2 linked regions of the Mus musculus genome follow. The protein of the gene in region 1 binds, or shares a complex with, the protein of each later gene. Links are inferred from orthologs where the notes say so. Each region holds a gene or a part of one and is shown in the gene's direction. Other genes may lie near its edges.

What was found. Proteins that work in one complex are often made in the same cells at the same time.
Region 2: Gemin4 (region 1) and Gemin2 share a complex: the UniProt entries of both Homo sapiens proteins name them as parts of the SMN-Sm complex. The link is inferred for Mus musculus from reciprocal best matches to the Homo sapiens genes GEMIN4 and GEMIN2.

Annotation. Positions count from the first base shown.
Region 1 is NC_000077.6:76,208,942-76,219,224, reverse strand, and holds Gemin4 (gem-associated protein 4), read left to right. Parts: upstream 1-1,652; 5' UTR 1,653-1,737; coding exon 1,738-1,747; intron 1,748-4,514; exon of another isoform or gene 4,515-4,969; intron 4,970-5,281; exon of another isoform or gene 5,282-5,301; coding exon 5,302-8,468; 3' UTR 8,469-8,654; downstream 8,655-10,283. Other genes in the region: Dbil5 (diazepam-binding inhibitor-like 5), read right to left, coding at 690-953. UniProt on the Homo sapiens protein: The SMN complex catalyzes the assembly of small nuclear ribonucleoproteins (snRNPs), the building blocks of the spliceosome, and thereby plays an important role in the splicing of cellular pre-mRNAs.
Region 2 is NC_000078.6:59,020,600-59,031,421, forward strand, and holds the end of Gemin2 (gem-associated protein 2), read left to right. Parts: intron 1-1,068; coding exon 1,069-1,137; intron 1,138-4,403; coding exon 4,404-4,514; intron 4,515-6,255; coding exon 6,256-6,314; intron 6,315-7,137; coding exon 7,138-7,177; 3' UTR 7,178-7,871; downstream 7,872-10,822. UniProt on the Homo sapiens protein: The SMN complex catalyzes the assembly of small nuclear ribonucleoproteins (snRNPs), the building blocks of the spliceosome, and thereby plays an important role in the splicing of cellular pre-mRNAs.

The DNA of each region.
Region 1 (10,283 bases):
GTTCATGTGCGTGTGCATGTGTGTGTCCGTCCATCACTGGGCCCCAAGCAGAAACCTAGGTTAAGAACATTTAGGTTGCTAAGGCTTAGGTGATTCTTTCAGGCACTGAGATGCTGAGGCCACCCTTCTTCCCTGTCCCTCAGCTGCTGTGCGTGATGCATGACCCACTTCACCATGTCACTCAAAGTTTGAGTTCCATCAAAATCCTAACTTCTCTGGACCTGTGTTCTAGGTGAGGGCTTTTCTATTTGTCTTTAGCTCTTTAGAAGGCAGAGCCCCTTTCTCCTCTGTACTGTTGGGTTCTTGGTGTGTTGATAACCCCTGATAATACAGATCCAAGCCCCCACCCCTGGTTATTTTAATAGCATGATTCACCCCACCTCTTTGCTCTTCTGCCAAATATCCACACACATTGTGGAACTGGGAAGACTATTAATGCCAGTCAGACCACAGAAAGGCAGATTAATGGAGTTTCACCCAGCAGAGAGAGGCTTCTACACATCTAAATACTTCTCCAGGACCCTCAAAGTTTCTCTTTTGCCACAGACTCCACTCTCATGCAGTTTGAATGATTTATTGGTGTTTCTGCTAACGCTGCTACCCTTTCAGTGTGTTTCAGCCATCAGGAATCTTAAACCCGTCCCCTACCAGTGGAGCCATGCTACTTCCTTGTGTCTGCCAAAATGCTCTTAGCATGGCTCCTTTTTCTTCAGCTCTTCCACTTTAGCAATGTAGATCCTCATGGCATCCATCTTGGACATCCCTTTGTTTACCATCCAGGCCTCATATTTGGCCTTTGCTCTCACATCTGTGGCAGGAGGGACAGGGATGTTACAGTCGCCCTGGGTGGCCTGTTTGTAAAAGCTGTACACCAGCAGTTTCTCCTGATCACTCACAGGCCCCTTCAGCTGCTTGAGTGAAGCACAGGCCATTTCAAACTCCACTTGGCTCATTGGTATACCAGAGGCAATGCTTCTGTTTTTAAGTGATGCGGGGTACTAGAAGAAAGTTGGAAATAAGCAAACCATGTTATTGTTAGGCCTTGGAAAGAAGGGGTAAAGAGATAATGTGTGGGATGAACACGGGGCGTTTGTGTGTTTAATAACGTACAAATCGAGGACCAGGAATCCATTCAATTGCTCCTGCCCCGCAGAGCTTTTTCCAGTGTGACTGCCCTTCAAAGTTATAAAAGCACCTATGAGCTCTGAAAGTTGACTCTGCTGTTGCCTATAGGAGATAGTGCAGCATGAAAAGCAAGCATATAGGGAGTTTTGTGTGTCTTGGGGGGGGGGGGGATGAATCCCGTGGATCCGCTGCTGGTTAGTACACAGCTGAAGGAAAGTTATTCCATGTGGGTGAATCCGGGGCGAGAGCTGCCCGGGGTTCCTGAGTGAGGGTGAATGAGGGGTCTGGACTAAGGGGTTCGACCTCCTTGCCTGAAGGGGTCAGGTTCCACATGGAGACAGCCAACAGTACCTGTGGTTAAGAAGGCTGGGAAGCCTAGGCCGAGAGGGGGCGCTGTGGCTAGGGTGGCTTCGACGCTGCGAGCTTGTTGGAGAGGAGTACGCGTGCGCCTTGAACGGCAGCGGCTAGCAGACTACAGCACGGAAGCGGAGAAGCGCTGTGGGCGGAGCCTGTGACGCGCCTGTAGCGCCGCCCTTTGTGCCGTGGCGCGGGCAACGCGTTCGCGGCCTTGGACTAGGAGGGGCGGTCTAGCCCGCCGCCAGCGTCGCCGCCATGGACCTAGGTGGGTTCCCACTTCCCTACTCCGGCCCCTGGGCCGCACCCCCCCAAAGCACCTCCTGGGCAGGCTGAGGCTCTGCACTGCTCCTACGGTGCTCGGGAGGCTGGGGGCTTGAGGAGTTTTGGGGGACCCGCAGTCGCGAGGCCGGCCTCCATCCTGTAGCCCCACCACATGACGGTCTCCTAGAGTCCTCCTCCGTCCTTCGTAGTGTCTTCCCAGTGGGAAACCGGGAGCGAATATAGCCTTGATTCTCCTGGAAATGCTCAGGGCTACTGCACGTGTTTCGGAAATGCCGGGCTGGGAGGGACGGACGTCCGGAGAGTTCTTCGTTATTAAATGACTGCCGAGTTAGTGAACATGTTTCTTATTAGGTCGCCTAGTGCATAAAGCAAAAATACTGATACTGTCTTTCTCCCAGAGGCTTGGCGTTTTCTTTGCGACCACGTGCATAACAGGACCCCATTCGTTGACTCACGCAAAGCGACCACCCCACCCCCACCCCTCTCTTGTGAGCAGGAGTTGCGCAGCCTGAGATTTCACTTTTTGAATCCGAATTCGAGTGCTGCTTGGTTTGGAGTATCCTCCTAGGCGAGGTCTGGAAGTAAGGCGGAGTTGATAGAAATCTGTGGCCATCTGCCAACCCTCTCCACCCTGCTAGGTGTGCTCTTTAGAGGGTAAGACTAGGAGGCCGTCCTGGGAAGTACTCCAAGATTTGCAAATAATACGCTGTGGAGAAATGTCTTTGTCCCTAGCCAGCTCTTTAGTGTGGAATGGTAGTTTCGTGCCCTGCAGCTGTGAAGAGTGCTGCCAAGGCTTGACTCCCTAGTTGAGACACCTTGCAAAGTTGTGCCTGGGCCTCTAGCTTCCCATCTCCAAAACAGGAGTTATAATCCTCAAGAAGTTAGTTTGACGATTACATGATTTTTATAGGTGTCAAGCTGGGTGTGGTAGCTTATGTCTAACTAGCACTCTGGAAGCAGAGGCAGGAGGATCTCAAAATTCTAGGCCGACCTGGTCTGTATAGTTTCAAGCCAGTTCCAGCTATATAACAAGAGCCTATCTCAGAAAAAAATACAAGTATGCCACCCAGCACAGTGCCTACCAAAGTAACCAGTCACTTCCTAGCACCAGCTACTGATTTAAAAAAAAAAAAAAAAAAAAAAGCCTTTGAGTTTCCCCTGGCTATGAGCTGAGTCTGGGACTTTTCTCAAGCCACATGTACACAGTCTCTGAAAGGCACATGTTTGGCCGCAGACATTTGCTCTGCTAAGCCGATGTCTAATGCAATAAAATGTCATTTACAGTTATAAGGAAATGTGTTCGGGGGCCGGCAGACCAACCTGAGACAGAAAGAACCCTGGATTGCCTTCAGGTCTGGGTTTTGTGGGAGTGCTGAGCCTTGATTTGGGGTGGGCAGGCAGTGACAGTAAATGGTTAGTGGCCAGGAGATTTTTTAGTTGCCTGGTGTCAGTAATTTTTTTTTTTCCCTGGGGGTAGGAGAAGTTTGAGATGGTAGCCATGATGTAGCCTTGGCTAGCCTGAAACTCAGTACGTGGACCAGGCTTGCCTCATAAAAATCTGCATCACTAGAGAGCTGGGACTAACGGGATAGGCCACCACAGCTGTTCACTGGAGTCAGTACTTTTGCTGCCGACTCTGGCCTATGAGAATAGGGCAGATGTGTTTCTGGGAGCATAGAGGACTGAGGAGAGAGCTAGCAGTGACCGTGACAAGGTGTTGCACTCAGCTTCTAGGCCAGATTATACACTTTGGGAAAGACCTGTGCCCGTCTGTTTCTGCACTGGAGGAGACAAAATATTGACAAGACTAGTCCTGCCAACACTTGAGCATTTAAATCAGGCTCTTGATGGTCTGATTATGGTTAAGATAGCTTATATAACCCATCCAATTCTTCCATACCTGGGAGATGCTTCAAAAAGGTAACAATACCAGAATAGTTACAAAAGTGTGATTAGTGTATGTCCTGTGTCATGTGGTTCCCATACCATGAAGATTATAGTCTCATGTATATATGCATACATATATTCTCATGTATGCAGACGGGAGACTCAGTAAAGTGTAAAGTCACATCATGTTTTAACAACTGAGTTAGGATTTGAATCCATTATCTTGATTAAACCCCCACATGGCCTCCCTTTAAATGTCAGTTCTTAACTCAGTGAATGAGTGACCGCTGTCTTGATGTAATATTTGTTTTGTCCACTTCCTGGTTCCTACCACAGAGCCAGAACCTTCACCAGCTTGTCCTTTTTGACTGGAAGAAACTGCTGGGTGAACTTTTTCCCTGTAAGGCACAGAATGTTGAAACTTGTTGAAGCAGGAGTGTGCTTAGAAAGAAGGAAGGCAGGGCTCCGGATACAGCTCAGTGGTAGAGTGCTTGCCTGTTACATGCAAGGCTCTGAGTTCAAAAACAGGCTTAACTGAGTGTGGTGGCACAGGCTTTTGATCTCAGCACTCAGGATGTAGAGGCAGACAGATCTGAGTTCAAAGCTATCCAGTTCATAATGAGACCCTGTCTCAGAAACAACCAAAAACACTAAGACAATAAGCACCTCCCATCCCCCAAAGACTACCTATTGTATCTTCCATAGTCTGCCATCACTGGACTCAGTTTTGTTTAGGTTTTTTGTTTGTTTGTTTTTTAATTACATTCTTGGTGTGTATGTGTGGATACCACGGTGCACAAGTGTCAGTCAGAAGACAGCTTGTAGAGGTTACCATATCAGTTCTAGGGCTCAAACTCAGGTCATCAAGCTTGGTGGCAGATATCTTTAATCATGAGCCATGCTGCTGGCCTCTGTCATGTCTTTAATGCATATGTGGTAGCACTGTCCCCTATCCTCTACTCACTGTAACCTCAGCAGTCCAGTTGTCCTCTTCACACTTTGCTGAGGAATCTTAGTCACTTCCTTGATTTTCATGCACTTCTCCGAGTTGGTACTGCCTACACTCACATCAGGCCTTTTCTCCTTCACGCATTGCCATTGCTGAAGGACATCACTAAATGTTCTACCTCAGACTCTAGGTAACAGCACTGAACTTGTCTTCCCTTAAAGCTTGTCCTGAGGGGCCACGAGCGATGACTCTGTAGTTAAGAGCACATATGTTTCTTGTAGAAGTCCAGAGTTTAGTTCTCAGCAACCACACCAGTAGGCTCAGTCCAGCTCCAGAGGACCCAGCATCCTCTTCTGGCCTCTGTGGAAGCTGCATTCATATGCACAAACCCCCACAGATACAAACACATTATTAAAATAGAATTTTGTAAACACTTGAAAGCCTGTTCTGAATCCCTCTCTGCCTCCTATTTCCAGAGGTGCCATTGTCCTGATATCCAGGCCAAAGATCTTAGAAACTGGTTTTTTGTTCCTCGGCCAAGACCTTTTGACCCCAGCCCTTTGTGAGCTCTTACTAACCATGCCTTCCCCTCCCATTGATGTCAAGACCGTAGCCGAAATGATAGCCATCCGATGGCTGTTTCCTTCTCCTAGCTTCTCGCTAATCTGATGACTTCATTACCTCTTGGCTTCTCTGTGCAGGACCCTTGAATATCTGTGAGGAGATGACTATTCTGCATGGGGGCTTCTTGATGGCTGAGCAGCTGTTCCACCCCAAAGCCCTGGTACAGTTGACCAAGTCTGATTGGGAACACGTGGGACAGCCCATTGTGGAGGCCTTGAAGGAGATCTCCTCAGCCACAGCACATTCCCAGCCCTTTGCCTGGAAGAAGAAAGCACTGATCATCATCTGGACCAAGGTTCTTCAGCCCTCCCCTGTCAGCCCTTCTGACACTGATACTCGGTGGCAGGAAGATGTATTCTTCTCCGTGGGCAACATGATCCCTACCATCAACCACACAGTCCTTTTTGAGCTGCTCAAGTCTCTGGAAGCTTCTGGACTCTTCATTCAGCTGCTAATGGCCTTGCCTACCACCATTGGCCGCTCAGAACTACAGAGCTTCCTGGAGCACATGACTGTTGACACATCTTCCAAGGATGTGGCCTTCTTCTTAGATGTCTGGTGGGAAATGATGAAGCACAAGGGCGACCAGCAGGACCCCTTGCTTTCCCAGTTCAGGACGATGGCCCATAAATACTTGCCATCCTCAGATGAGTTTTCCCATCCTCCAAAGAGGTTTAAGTCTGACCCAGATGTGGGTCCCACCATGCCTCTTTTGGCCATGTTGCTTAACGGGCTGAAGCAGATCCAAAAGAGAATCCTGTCCCTTGGAATGAAGTGCTGTGCCTTAGCTAACTTGGCTGACATGCTGAGTGTGTTTGCACTTCTGGAGGATGACACCCAGGAGGTGTCGGCCACCGTGTACCTAGACAAACTAGCTACAGTGATCTCTGTGTGGAACTCGGACACCCAGAACCCATACCATCGACAGGCCCTGGCAGACAAGGTAAAGGAGGCAGAGCGAGATGTGAGTCTCACCTCACTGGCCAAACTCCCCAGCGAGACTGTTTTCATGGGGTTTGAGCTTATGTACAACCTGCTGCAAGAGTGGGGTGCAGAACTGCAGGACATGCTCAACAGCAGTCAGGGAACAAATTATGACACTTACCGGCTGTGTGACAGCCTGACTTCCTTCAGCCAGAACTTGGAGCTCTACCTGGATACTACCAACATGCCCAAGGAGGAGAGGGAGGTGGTCTCAGAATTGGCTGAGTGTGTCAGGGACTTCCTGAGGAAAACCAGCAGAATGCTGAATGACAAGGGCCTTGAGGACATCACTGCCTCCATTGCCATGGCCATCATTGAGCAGAAGATGGACCGGCACATGGAAATGTGCTACATTTTTGCTTCTGAGAAGAAGTGGGCCTTTTCAGACGAGTGGGTTGCCTGCCTGGTTAACAACAGGTCTCTCTTCAGAGAACCAGACTTGGTCTTGAGTCTGCTAGAAACAGTGATGGAAGTCATCAGCTCTGATCGGGTTATCCCCCAGCCTCAGATCAAGCAGGTAATCTGCTTGACCCTGGAATGCTATGAAGACCTCTCTCTTCCAGACAAAAATAAAGTTCTTTCTGGTGTCCTGCATTATTTGGGGCCAAAGGGTCTCTCAGACAGGTTGTCTGATTACTTGGAGGGTTTTCAGGAAGACCTCAACACGACGTTTAACCAGCTCGCACAGAGTACCTCTGAACAGGGCCTGGCTAAAGCTGTGGCCTCCGTGGCCCACCTGGTGATCCTGAACCCAGAAGTTGTGGTGAAGAAGATGTGTAGCCTAGCTGTGACCAATCTTGGCACACATAGGTTCTTGGCTCAGATTCTCACTGCCTTCCCTGCTCTGAAGTTCACGGAAGAACAAGGGGCAAATCCATGTACCAGTTTCATGGTGTCTTGCCTCAAAGAAACTGTCTGGACCAAGTTCTCCACACCCAAAGAAGAGAAGCAGTTTCTGGAGCTGGTAAGCTGCCTGACGAATCCTGTGAAGCCACAGGGGATTCCAGTGGCTGCTCTTCTGGAGCCAGATGAGGTGCTCAAGGAGTTTGTCCTGCCTTTCTTGATGTTGGACATGGAGGAGGTGGGCCTGAGTCTGAAGCTCTTCATCCAGACCCTCGAAGCCAATGCAGGCCTGGAAGAGTATTGGCTGCAGACCTGCTCCCCATTCCCTCTGCTCTTCAGCCTGTGCCAGCTCCTGGACAGCTTCAGCAAGTTCTGGCAGCTCCCCCGGGAGAAGCGCTACCTCACGCTGGACAGCAAGGATCTTGTGACCCACATTCTGGAACTCCTCTGTGAGATCGTGCTAGCCAACACAGAAACCTTCTCCCCAGACACCTGGGCCAAGTCCCTGTCCTGGCTCCACCGCAAATTAGACCAGCTAGATTGGACTGTGGGCCTGAGACTAAAGAACTTCTTTGAAGGCCACTTCAAGTGTGAGGTGCCAGCTACCCTTTTTGATATCTGTAAGCTCTCTGAGGCCCAGTGGACCTCACAGGTCCACGAAGGGTATGGGCCTGGCACGGGCCTTCTCGCCTGGATGGAGTGCTGTTCAGTCTCCAGCAGTATCTCTGACCAGATGCTTTCCCTTCTGGTGATGGATGTGGGCAATCCTGAGGAGGTCAGACTGTTTAGCAAGGGCTTTCTGGTGGCCCTGGTACAAGTCATGCCTTGGTGTAGCCCCCAGGAATGGCAGTACCTTCAGCAGCTGACCAGGAAGCTATTGGAGAAACAGCTTCTTCATGTCCCTTACAGTCTAGAGTATATTCAGTTTGTTCCCCTGCTCAACCTGAAGCCTTTTGCCCAGGAACTTCAGCTCTCTGTTCTTTCTTTGAGAGTGTTCCAGTTTCTCTGCAGCCAGAGCTGTTGTAACTGGCTTCCTTTGGACGGTTGGAGCCATGTGGTCAAACTCCTCTGTAACAGTCTGACCAGTGTCCTGGATGCAGTCAGGTTGATGCAGTCGGTGGGTCCCTGGGCCCAAGGACAAGAAGGGGATCTTACTCAGGAAACCCTGTTTGTCTATACCCAGATGTTCTGTCATGTTCTGCATATCATGGCCATGCTCCCTCAGGAGGTCTGTGAACCCCTCTACGTGCTGGCCTTGGAAATCCTTACCTGCTACGAGACTCTAAGCAAAAGCAACCCTTCTGTCAGCTCCTTGCTCCAGAAGGTAGACGAGCAGCGCTTCTTAAAGTCTATCGCCAAGAACATTAGCCCTGAGGAGCGGCGCCAAACCCTGCTACAAAAGATCAACAACTTCTGACCTGTTGAGGGCAGAACAAAACTATGCCTCCGTCCACCGTGGTGTTTCTGCAGGGCCCAGAGCTAAGAACAAACAAAGTTATAAGAACGTACACAGTGAAAGGAGTACAAGAGCAGTGTAAAGAAATAGTTTTCTTAGATATTTGTCACATACTACTTAAATAAAATTCTCTTGGGTTTAATCTTATCTTGAGCCTTTCTCAGAAGTTTGGGCTTAAATATGCTCCAAATTAGGTTTAGGTAGTCTTTAAGATCAAGTCAAGCCAGTAGGACAGGTATGGGAGTGTACACCTGTAGCATCAGCCTTCAGGAGGCTCAGGCAGAGGGTGGCAACTTGGACTGCATAGGAATATCCAAAAGTTAAAAAAAGGCCAGCTGGAGAGGAACATGTTTGTAACTGAAATTCTCCACCTAGTTTTGGCAGTAAGCCCAAAGTTGGAGCTACCGAGTGGGGGGTAAGGGGGAGGAGAAACGTTATATGTTCTTTTTAGTGACATCCTCGTGGAGTCTTTTCAACTAGGCTTGGTAGAAGTACATCCTTATAAGCCCAGCATTCGGGTAGCTGAAGTAGAAGGCTCAGTTCAAGGCCAGCCTGGGCTACTAGCAAGCATTTTTGTATTCCATCTTCTTACCAAGGTTATCTCATAAAGGGCAGATGTGGAAAGGGGCTCACTCAGCGCTGGTTGACTTGTGCCAAAGAGGCCTGCACCAAGGAACACTGTTAAGGGGGTAGTAACCATCGCCTCAGCACATCCGGGAGAGGTGCTAAGCCAGGGCTGCTGAATAGCTGGTGCCCTTGGAGGGTGGCTATAATTACCTTCTTCCTGGGGTGAGATTGTTTTGGTTTTGATGACTGAGTGGCATAGGCAACAATACAGAAGCATAAAAATGAAAGCATAAGGTTTCCAGGGCAATGTTACACAACTCTTAGAACTGGTTAGGGGAGGTATCATTTAGGGAGGTGAGAGGAAAGGTCCCATCACCTACTTACCCACACCCTCATCTAAAATGGTTTACTCCTCTGGTACTCTTCTCCCACCTAATGGAAACTGTGGTCAGCAGGCAGGCAGGCAGGCAGGCAGGCAGGCAGGCTTCCACCCTCCCAACTTCTAGTTGGGATCCACCAGAGGAAGGAAAACCTGAAGTTAAATGTGAGCACTGAGCGTGAACTCTGGGCACCTTCCGTGTATCCTTTGGTACTTTGAACCAACATGTTGGACTATGAGTAAGACCTGCCTAGAGGCCATTTGCCTTCCGTGACCAGACTAGGAATTACCGAAAACGGTAGTCAGGCTGGGTCTCGGATGTTTGGGGAATTCGGCGCCAGGGCACATAACAAATAGAGAATTTAGTGCAATTTAATTACTATATGGATGACTTGTGGATACAGTAAACAGAACAAAAAAACACAAAACAGCATTTTTTATGTTTTTTAAATGGCACCTATTAAAGACTGAAACTCAAAAATTGAGATGCAACCATCCAGTCCTTTAGAAGTCCATGGACAGTGAATTATAAGGCACTGTAGTGTTTTTGCTGCCACCTGAAGTAGTGGCAGCAGGTCCTCTCAACCCCAGCCTGTGGTGAGAGATGATCTGTGCTACACCACATGCTACAGCACACAGCTAACAAACAGCACTGGTCCACAGGACATGCTCTGGCTCGTCTGGCTTCTCTCTCCTGTTTTCAAGCTTTCTGTGGCTAGAACATTCAACACAGAAATGGGTCTGTCTTAGCAGGAAGCACTGGCCTACAGGACACCTGGAGAGCAGACGTCTGTGTCCATTTTGTATGAAAGGGCAGTGTCAGTGTGGGA
Region 2 (10,822 bases), on another chromosome or scaffold:
CAGGATTTCATCATGTAACCAAGAATCCCCTGACAGTGGAGCTTGTGTTCCTGACATGGTACTAAGTCTTCATTTGTGTACATTCCAATTATAAGCGCTAAGTCTGCATCCAAAGCTCACTAAGTAAGGCCAAGACACAATTCCAGTTGTAAAGGGCCTGCCTCGGCCTGCAGTCTCTGAAAACTGATAACTTACTGGACCAAAGCGGGAAACAAATGGGATTTCATTCTTCAGTCTTTGAGGAATAGAGACTTTTTAATGTTCAGCAGTGAAGCCGGTTAGTGCATGTCTTTAATCCCAGCACTCAGAGGCAGCGGCAGGTGTGTCTCTGCGTTTGAGGCCAGCCTGGTCTACATATCAAGCTCCAGCATATCGAGGTCTCTGTCTCAGAAAGGAAAGACGTACTTATAGTTAAGGTCTCTTATTGAGTTTTCTATTAACATTTAAGGAAGGAAATATTCTGAAGCATTGATAATTTCATTTCTATAATTTTCAAACATCCTTCTCTAGCCAAGTTTGTTTCTCCTGAGATTTGGTTTTCTGGTTAATCTGAATTGGTAAGTAGACTGAAGGGTCTTTTGTAGGAGTGTTTGAAATTTTTCAGTAGTTACAAACTACTTTTTAAGCCTAAGATTTAAAGCCTAAGTTTTATACTTCAGAGTATAAAAATATTTCTCTTAAAGGATTTTATAGCCATGTATGCAGACTCATGCCTGTAATAGTAGCACTCCAGAGGCAAAGGCAGGAGGATGGCCACAAGTTCAAGGCCAGTCTGCTCCATATTGTGAATTCGGGCAGACCAGGGATACAAAGTGAGACACTGTCTCAAGAAACAAAACAAAAAGCCAGTTGCTATGTGTAAGCCATCTAATGAAATTACTCCTTACTCATGGTGTCAAGAACAAAGACATTTTAACCCTCAGAGCTGCTTTTTAACCGCAGTTACTTGAACTCATGTTGAACTTCTCAGTATTTTACCGCTAATGTCACTGTTTCCTGCCCCGCCTCTCCCTCCCTCCTTTCCTTCTTCCACCCCACCCCCACCCCCATCCTTGTCTCTTTTTAAAGACAACCATTACTAGTGTCTTGGAATATCTAAGTAATTGGTTTGGAGAAAGAGACTTTACTCCAGAATTGGTAAGATTGCATCTTTTTCTTTTCATTATATAGGCAAAATTACATTTACTTATGTGAGGTGTGACTGCAGGTTTTTTTGTTTTTGTTTTTGCAGGGGTTTTTTTTTAAGATTTATTTCCTATTATATCTAAGTACACTGTAGCTGTCTTCTGACACACCAGAAGAGGGCTTCAGAACTCATTACAGATGGTTGTGAGCCACCATGTGGTTGCTGGGATTTGAACTCAAGACCTCTGGAAGTGTAGTCAGTGCTCTTAACCACTGAGCCATCTCTCCAGGCCCCGTGACTGCAGTTTTTATACTTGTGGGTGGGGGGGTGGGTGCATGCGCACGCACACATATAAGTATTCATGTGTTCTGCATATAAAATTCAAATCTTGTATATAAATGTATTAGTCAGGGTTCTCTAAAGTCACAGAACTTATAGGTCGTCTCTATATAGTAAAGGAATTTGTTGATGACTTACAGTCTACAGTCCAACTCCCAACAATGGTCAGCAGCAGCTGTGAATGGAAATTCAAGGATCTAGCAGTTGCTCAGTCCCACATGGCAAACTGTCAAAGAAGGGAGAAAGCCTTCCTTCTTCCAATGTCCTTATGTAGTTCTCCAGCAGAAGGTGTAGCCCAGATTAAAAGTGTGTGCCACCACACCTTTAATCCCAGATGACCTTGAACTCAGAAACTTCTACCTCCCAGCCTCCAGATTAGGATCTATGGTGAGCCTTCCAATTCTGGATTGTAGTTCATTCTAGATATAGTCAAGTTGACAACCAGGAATAGCCACTACAATAAGTAAGGACCTTATACCAGAAGATAAGTCAATATATTCTCCTCCTTGAGAAAGCCATAGAGACTGGGAATGTCATGACATCCACCTGTAAATTGCAGTTCTTGAGAAGCGGACACAGGAGTGTGAGGGCAGCCTTAGCTTCATAGTGAATTGCAGCTCATCCTAGGCTGCAGAAGATCTTGTCTCAAAAGTAGAAACAAGCCGGGCAGTGGTGGCATATGCCTTTAATCCCAGCACAGGTAGATTTCTGAGTTCAAGGCCAGCCTGGTCTACAGAGTGAGTTCCATGACAGTCAGGGCTACACAGAGAAACCCTGTCTTGGAAAGCCAAAAAAAAAAAAGAAAGAAACAAGGAGCAAACAATAGTAGATAATACTATTAGATAGATAATAATTATTAGTAGATAATAATGCATTGAATGCATTATTCTACAACCATTTTATACAATTCTTCACTAACTAAGCCCCCTTTTACAGGTAATAAAATATAGCTGAGTTAGTAGATTGTTTATAGTCACACAGTCTGTCAGAGGCAGACTGTATAACTTTACTTGGGGTTTTCTCATCCACTTTTTAAAAATGGAGTTGGAGTTTATTAAAGATAATTTAATACAAAATTTAAGCACGGACATTAAAGGAAAAACTTTCTAAAGAAAATTAAGGCACACCAGGAACCTGGGTGTGGTCTTCTCTGAGAGCCACCCTTTCACATCCTCAGGCAGGTGTAGCACATGAACCTGCAATCCTAGAACTGGGTAGGCAAGGGCGGGCAAATCACGTGAGTTCAAGGCCAGCCTGGGCTACAGAGCAAGCCTGAGTGAGGCCAGCTAGGACTACGAAGAAGGCCCTATCTTAGTAAAAACAAGTTTTAATATTTTTTCATGAGATGATACACATTAAAATCAATGCTACTGATTTTGCCCTAGGGTCAGACCCGTCTTTCACATAGTTTTAATCATCTTATATATTGTAACATCCTGAATAGCAAACATTTCAAAAATCAGAAATTTTAGCTAGATGACAAAGACAAGAAATGTTTCTTTCGGGCTGGTGAGATGGCTCAGTGGGTAAGAGCACCCGATTGCTCTTCCGAAGGTCCAGAGTTCAAATCCCAGCAACCACATGGTGGCTCACAACCATCTGTAACGAGATCTGATTCCCTCTTCTGGAGTGTCTGAAGACAGCTACAATGTACTTACATATAATAAATAAATAAATCTTTAAAAAAAAAAAAAAAGAAATGTTTCTTTCTATTTTCTTAATATTCTTAACATTTTTATGTATAAACTATTACTACTTTTATATTTTGTAATTGAAATAGCATTCAAGAGTATTCCTACAGATAGCCCCAGAATATTGTGGGGTTTTTTTCAATGTTTATTTATTTATTTTTAATGTGCCTGCATATATGTCTGTGAAGGTGTTGAATCCCTCTGGAACTGGAGATATAGCTAGGTGCAAGCTGCCATGTGGGTGCTAGGAACTGATCTCTGGTCCTCAAAAGAGCAACCAGTGCTCTTAACGACTGAGCCGTCTCTCCAGCCCCCAGGTTGTGGGCTTTTTTTTTTTTTTTTTTTTTTTTAAGGAAGGGGTATTCACTTCGGCTCAGGTCCAGGGTCCTCATTCCCATGCTGCCTGGCTCCATTGTTCCTGGCTACACAGAGCGTCATGAAGGAAGGGACAAGCAGGTGCTTTACAGTGACCCTCAGCCCTCAGTTACTACTGCATTTCCAGACACAGTCTCAGTAAATTGGTCAGGCTGGCCTTGAACTTGTAGACCTCCTGTCTCAACCTCCCAAGACTCTAGCACTACACGTCCACCAAACCTAGCAATTTAGAGTTTTGCTTATATACCTTTAGCTTTATAAATCTTTAATCGTAGCACCCTAGAGGCAGAGACAAACATCTCTGAGCTGAAGACTAGCCAGAGATACATGAGACTCTGTCTCAAAAAAACTCAGAACATTTTTGCTTATAATAGAGAATCTCAGGACAAGGCATTCACGAGGCAGAGCAATAGATTTCTGTGAGTTCCAGGCCAGCCAGGGCTATGCAGTAAGACCCTGTCTCAAAAAGGTGTGGGAGGGGGACTAGAGAGATGGCTCAGAGAGTAAAAGCACTAGCTGTTCTTCCAGAGGTCCTGAGTTCAATTCCCAGCAACCACATGATGGCTCACAACCATCTGTAATGGGGTCCGATGCCTTCTAGCCTGCAGGCAAAATGTTATATACCAAATAAGGGAAGCGAGGACCTCAATTGTAGTACAAATATAGACATAAGTTCATTGGGAATCAGGAACTATTTTGAAGTATGTAGTGGCCTAGGTCTGTGGTTAGAAAACAAAAGTATTCACCTCTCTAGACACTGCCTTGATTCATTTGTAGCGGGTAAGCAGGTAACACCATCGAGCATGTAGAAAAACACAATAAATGGGTTCTTCATTGTTTGTCTATTAATCACTTCTTAAATTTTTTCTTAGGGAAGATGGTTTTATGCTTTGTTGGCTTGTCTTGAAAAGCCTTTATTACCTGAGGCTCATTCACTAATCCGACAGCTTGCAAGAAGATGTTCTGAAGTGAGGCTGCTGGTGGTGAGTTATACTGTACTATTTCAGAGTCTGTCTACTATGGTAGAAAAGAAGATATATGAGATAAAAAAAAATGTGGAATGTTATTAGTTGGGATTAAGGAGTCTACAGAAACAAAAAACTCAAATAGAGTATATTAAATAACAAAACTAGATATGGTGGCACATGACTGTAATTCAGCATCTAGGAGATGGAAAGGGGAGTATTGCAGTTCAAGTGCAAACTGGGCAATAGCAGAAAAGACCTTCTCTAGAAAGGGGGGAGGCCAAGCATGATGATGTGCATCTTCAATCCCAGCACATGGAGGGCAGAGGCCTCGCTGGGAGGCCAACCAAGGCTACATAGTAAGAACCTTATCTCAAGAAAATAGTATGGGGCAGGGGGACAATGAAGTTTGTTTCTCTCCAGTAAAGGAAGTCTGAAGGTCCAGACGAGATCTAACATGACAAGATCCTAGTCATTGGTTCTGCTGTTATGACTTCATCCTTCTCTTAGTTTATTTTTGTTGCTGTAGCGGAATACCTGAAGCTGCTGTTTATAAGCACAGAGGAATTGAGTCAGGACCTTGACTATGCTAGGAAAACCCTCTATCCAGTTTACAAAGAAATTGATTTTAGTTCAGTTTTGAGAGCTCAAAATACAAGCTCAAAGGCCCCGTCTGGTCTACCTTATATTTATATCATCCTTTTAGGGAGGATCATCTACCAGGAGTAAGCTAAGGGCAGTTCCTGGCTGACGTTCAAGAGGGGAAGTGTCAAACTCACTCTATTTAAACCCTCAGTTTCCATAAAACTACAACCCTTGAAAACGGCAATACAGCCGGGCATGGTGGCACACCCCTTTAATCCCAGCACTTGGGAGGCAGAGGCAGGTGAATTTCTGAGTTTGAGGCCAGCCTGGTCTACAGAGTGAGTTCCAGGACAGCCAGGGCTATACAGAGAAACCCTGTCTCGAAAAACCAAAAAGAAAAAAGAAAACAGCATTATAAGTCCTTCAGAACAGCATTATTCTCTAAATAGTGATCTTAGGCTGGTGATTTGAGTTTGATCCCTCCAAACACACACACACCAAACACACATACTAAATAGAAACGTAATTTAAAAATAAAGAGATTGTAGCTGGGGCTGTAGCATTGTTAATCACAATGCTCACCCAGGATGCACAAAGCTCAAGGTTCTAAACACAGTACTGCATAGTTCAAGTGTGGGACCCCAAGCCTGTCAGCACTGAGGAAGCAGAGGCAGAGGACCAAGGACAGCCTGGTGACTACTTAGGAATTTTGAGGCCTGGCTGGGATACATGAAACATTGCCCCAGAATAAAACAAGGGGCCTCTTATAAGTAACTAATAAACCCTGGTATCTGGGACCTCCCTACCCCCAAGTGGTTGTCCTTAAAGTCATATGCATACAAGGAATCATATATGCACTGAACAGATTATATATTCAAGAGAGAGAGGGCGAGAGAGAGAGAGTGTGTGTGTGTGTGTGTGTGTGTGTTTGTTTGTTTGTTTGTTTGTTTGTTTGTTTTGTGCTGGCCTCAAACTCAGAAGAGAGTCATGATATTGAGAGAGCTAGATTGGAGAGAGGAAATTTGGGACCAGGGAAAGTGATCTATTTATATTTTAATTTTATAAATGAAAGATGGGCAGGTGAGAAACCCTGTCTCAAAAAACCAAAAGAAAAAAAAAAAGAAAGAAAGAAAATACTTATGGAAAAAAAAAATAGCCTTTTTCTATTTTTCAGGGCAGTAAAGATGACGAAAGAGTCCCAGCTTTGAATCTGCTGATCTGCTTAGTTAGCAGGTGAGTTAAGAAATTTAACTTCATGTTTTTCCTTGTTATCAGTAGTAGGCAGAACATGTTTAATGCTGTGTTAATTTTCATTTGCTGTGTATTTTTATCTAGTATGTTTGATTACATTTCCTTTTGTCTTTTAATCTGTACTGGATGGAACCTGTACCTGTCAGGCAGGGAGTCTACCAACCAAGCTCTATCTCGTTCCTTCTATCAAAGTTCCTGCTGAATTGATTTGAAAATACAGCCTGTATCTAAGGAAAGGCACACATTGATTTTAGGTCTCTTCCTGGACATGCTTTGCTCATTGATCAGCAGTTTGTTTTGAGGTTTGGTTTGGTTTTGTCTTGCTAACACCTCTCTAAAGCTTCATATTAACTAAATACCCTCAAGTTATCCTTCCCTCCACCAAACAAGATGTATTTTTGAAAATACACACATAGTAAACACCTAGTTCTTGATCTATAATCACTATGTTTAATTTTCCTGGTGCTTTCTTCCAAGCATTTTTCTTAGTGTGTCATAATAGGAACTCATTTAATCCTATACCACCCAGTTTAGAGATGAGAAAACTGGCAAAAGAATGCAAAGTGCCTTTGCTGCTTCCTGAACATCACAGAGCTAGCTAGTGTATGGCAGAGACAGGACCCAAACCTAGGCAGCTTTACAGAAGAGCTCCGCATTCCCCCACACCCTTTGTATGTGTGTGAGTGTTCCCCTGTTGGGTAGATGTGCTGTGGTTTAGTCTTTGTTGAGTCATTGTGTGCTTTTGCTTCTACAAGCAGTGCTGTCCTTGATAAGTGTGCACACACTGAATTCTTTTTCTTACTAGGTATTTTGATCAACGCGATTTAGCTGATGAGCCATCTTGATGGCGCTTACCTCCTAGGGATGGAAGATGATTCTGTGGAAGGAGCCTAAGTCTGAGAAACACAGTTCCAACCTGAGGACAGATTACATCACTTCTTCAAGTTATGTGAAGGGCTTCATCTTAATCTGCAGCTCAAGCTGATATTCAAAATATAGATTTGATTGGTTTAAAGTGTCTGAAATGTCTGTGAAAAAGCCCATTTGGTATCTGATGAGCAATTGGAACAGTTTTCTCTTTTTTTGGGGGGTGGGGGGTGGTGGATATGGAGACAGGGTTTCTCTGTGTAGCCCTGGCTGTCCTGGAACTCACTCTGTAGACCAGGCTGGCCTCAAACTCAGAAATCTGCCTGCCTCTGCCTCCCGAGTGCTGGGATTAAAGGAGTGCGACACCACCGCCGGGCTGGAAGTTTTCTTAAGTTGCATGCATTGAAAAGAGGTCAAGTGTGACTTACTACTTAAGCAGCTTGTATAAAAACTGATGGCATTTTATACAGGCCCCTGGGGCTGCTTCATTGGGTTTTTTTTACAAGTATACATATATATTTATGTTGAAATGTATTTTGTCTATGGAAATTTTTTTGACTCTTGAACAAAATAAAAGACACTGGATGTCTTTAGAGTTGAAGTTCATACAGATGAAATGGCAAATCTGTTCATAGTCGACAAGACTAATCCAGTGTTCATGTTTAAACTCAATAGTTTTAGTTTAATTTCACCACCAAAACTTCTAACAAATCATTTTCAATAATGTTGTAATAAGCAACACATGGTAGTGCACACATAGCATCTTGGGGTTCTAAGCCATTTTGGGATACATAATTAGACTCTACCTCAAAAAAATCCAAGGACTGGAGGTGGAACACCAGTCAGGAGAACTCGCTGCTCGAGAGGACTTGGGTTCAACCTGAACACCTATATAGCAACTGACAACCGCTGAGACATCAGTTCCAGAGGCTCTGACACCTTCTGTCTTCCTGATGTCAGGCATGCACAGGGTCTACATAAAGACAAAACACTTCTGTACAGCGAAGTTAAATCTTCAAATTAACATCTAAAAACAACTGTCCCTAAAGCTTCATGGTTTTGCTGATTTCTTTGGGAGAGGAGGATGCACTGGGGGACTGGTAAACTGTCAGTTATTGGGTGGCTTTTGTTATTTCCACAGCTGGTTGCTGAGCATGAAGTTGTATATGCTACTCGCAGTAAAATTTCTGAATGGATACTATTTAAAAAGCAGTTTAGCTTATGCAAGTATAAGGAATAAAAATATGACCTTAGTGCAGTTCCATCCTTACTAGCACACTAAAGGATTTTTATTGTTGCCAAGACAAGATGGTATTCTTTAGCCAGCGTTGCCTGCAACTCTGTAGCCCAAGATGGCCTCAAGCTTGAATGAATCCATGCCTCAGTTTCCCAAACACTAAAACAACAGTCTGTGTTACCTGAGTTAGCTAGAGGATGTGAACACAATTGTGAAACTGTAACCACAGGCTTTTCCACCCAAGCCCTAGGTGCCTCAGTTCTCAAATAACAACTCAGAGGCTATATTTGATTTAATAAATGCCTGGGCCATAAATAAGCTAGGCTTGTTCCCACTAGATCATAACTTATTTAATCTGTTTATACTAGTCAACATCTACCACATGGCTACTTACCACTCCTCAGTTTCATCTTCCTCCAAAGTCCTGATGGTGGCAAAAATTCCTACCAGAGTTAAATTAGTGTGTGTGTGTGTGTGTGTGTGTGTGTGTGTGTATGCATGCCAGATGTCCCACCTTCTAATCCTGCCTCAGTTTATTGGTCATCAGGTATTTTTTGACAGATGATACTTCACACAGTACATGAGAGATTATCCCTGCAAGAAGCCATTTCAATGAATTAGTTTGGAGCCACCATATCTAGTTTACCTGGAGGATTTTGGACAGAAATGAGAAACCATTTATGTGTTTTAATATGGTATGATAGTGGACCAAATAAGGATATTTGGGTGTTAGAGATAAATAGAAATAAACATTTAGAACCACATGGCCTTTGCACAGTAACCTTGCTGATTGCCTCGGGACTCTAGAACTGTCCCTATTTATCACCCAGCTCCCAGCTTCTCAGAACAACAGAAATGCACTTATTGTGGAGGTAATTAAAAGCCCACTGCAGAGGTTTGAATAAGAATGGCCCCCTTGGGCTGGTGAGATGGCTCAGAGGGTAAGAGCAGTGACTGCTCTTCCAAAGATCCTGAGTTCAAATCCCAGCAATCACATGGTGGCTCACAACCATCTGTAATGAGATCTGACTCCCTCTTCTAGTATGTCAGAAGACAGCTACAGTGTGTGTGTGTGTGTGCATATAAAATAAGGAAAAGGAAAGGAAGAAAGAAAGGAAAGAAAGAAAGAGAGAGAGAGAGAAAGGCAGGCTCCCTTGTTGGGCAGTGCTGGTGCACGCCTTTAATCCCAGCACTTCAGAGGCAGGCAGATTTCTGAGTTCGAGGCCAGCCTGGTCTACAGAGAGAGTTCCAGGACAGCCAGGGCTACACAGAGAAAGCCTACTTCGAAAAACCTCAAAAACCAAAAAGACAAACAAAAACAAAGAATGGCCCACTTAGGCTCATGTTTGAATGCTTAAGGAATGACAGTAGGAGGTGTGACCTTGTTGGAGTGGCCTTATTGGAGGAAATATGTCAAAAGCCCAACCCAATCCCATTATCTCTCTTCTTGCTGTCTGTGGATCCAGATTTAGGACTCTGCTCTTCCAGCACCATACCTGACTGTGTCACCATGCTTGCCACCCTGATGGTAATGGACTAAACCTCTTTAGTAAGAGACTGCAAGTAATGGGTCTGGAGAGATGGCTCAGTGATTAAGAGCACTGACTGCTCTTTCAGAGGTCCTGAGTTCAATTCCCAACACTCACATGGTGGCTCACAACCATCTGTAAAGGGATCTGATGCCCTCTTCTGATGTGTCAGGAGACAGCTACAGTGTACTCATATAAATAAAATAGATCTTTTAAAAATAAATACATAAATAAATAACTGCAAGCAAGCCCCAATCAAATTTTCTTTATAAGAGTTACCTTGTTCATGGTGTCTCTTAACAAGCAACTGAAAACTGAGGAAGTCACCCATGAAACATAAAGGTTAAATGTCCAAAGCTTCAGAGAATTACTCTACAATTTATTTGTAACTTTAATGCCTGGAGCATTATGTTAACTATTTATATGTATATGTACATACTGCAGAATTCTGTGCGCTCTCTCTCTCTCTCTTCCCCCCACCCCGTGTGTGTGTGTGTGTACATGTGTGCACAGAGGTCAGAAGACAACTTATGGGAGTTGATTTTCTCCGTCCAATATGGAAGTCCCAAGGATTAGATCATGAGTCTTGGTGAAGTGACTTAACCTGTAACAGTTTGAATAAGCCTGACCTCAGAATCTGAGTACTTGGTTCCTAGTTGATGGAACTATTTGGGAACGGTTAGGAGTTGCAGCCTTGTTGGAGAAGTGGTGTCACTGCCTGAGAGAAGGCTTTGAGGTTTCAAAAATCATTCTCAATGTACTTTCTCTCTACCTCCTGTTTGTAAGATGTGAGCAGGCAGCTGCTGCTCTAACCACCTGATACCATACCTTCACTCCACCATCATGGACTCTAACCT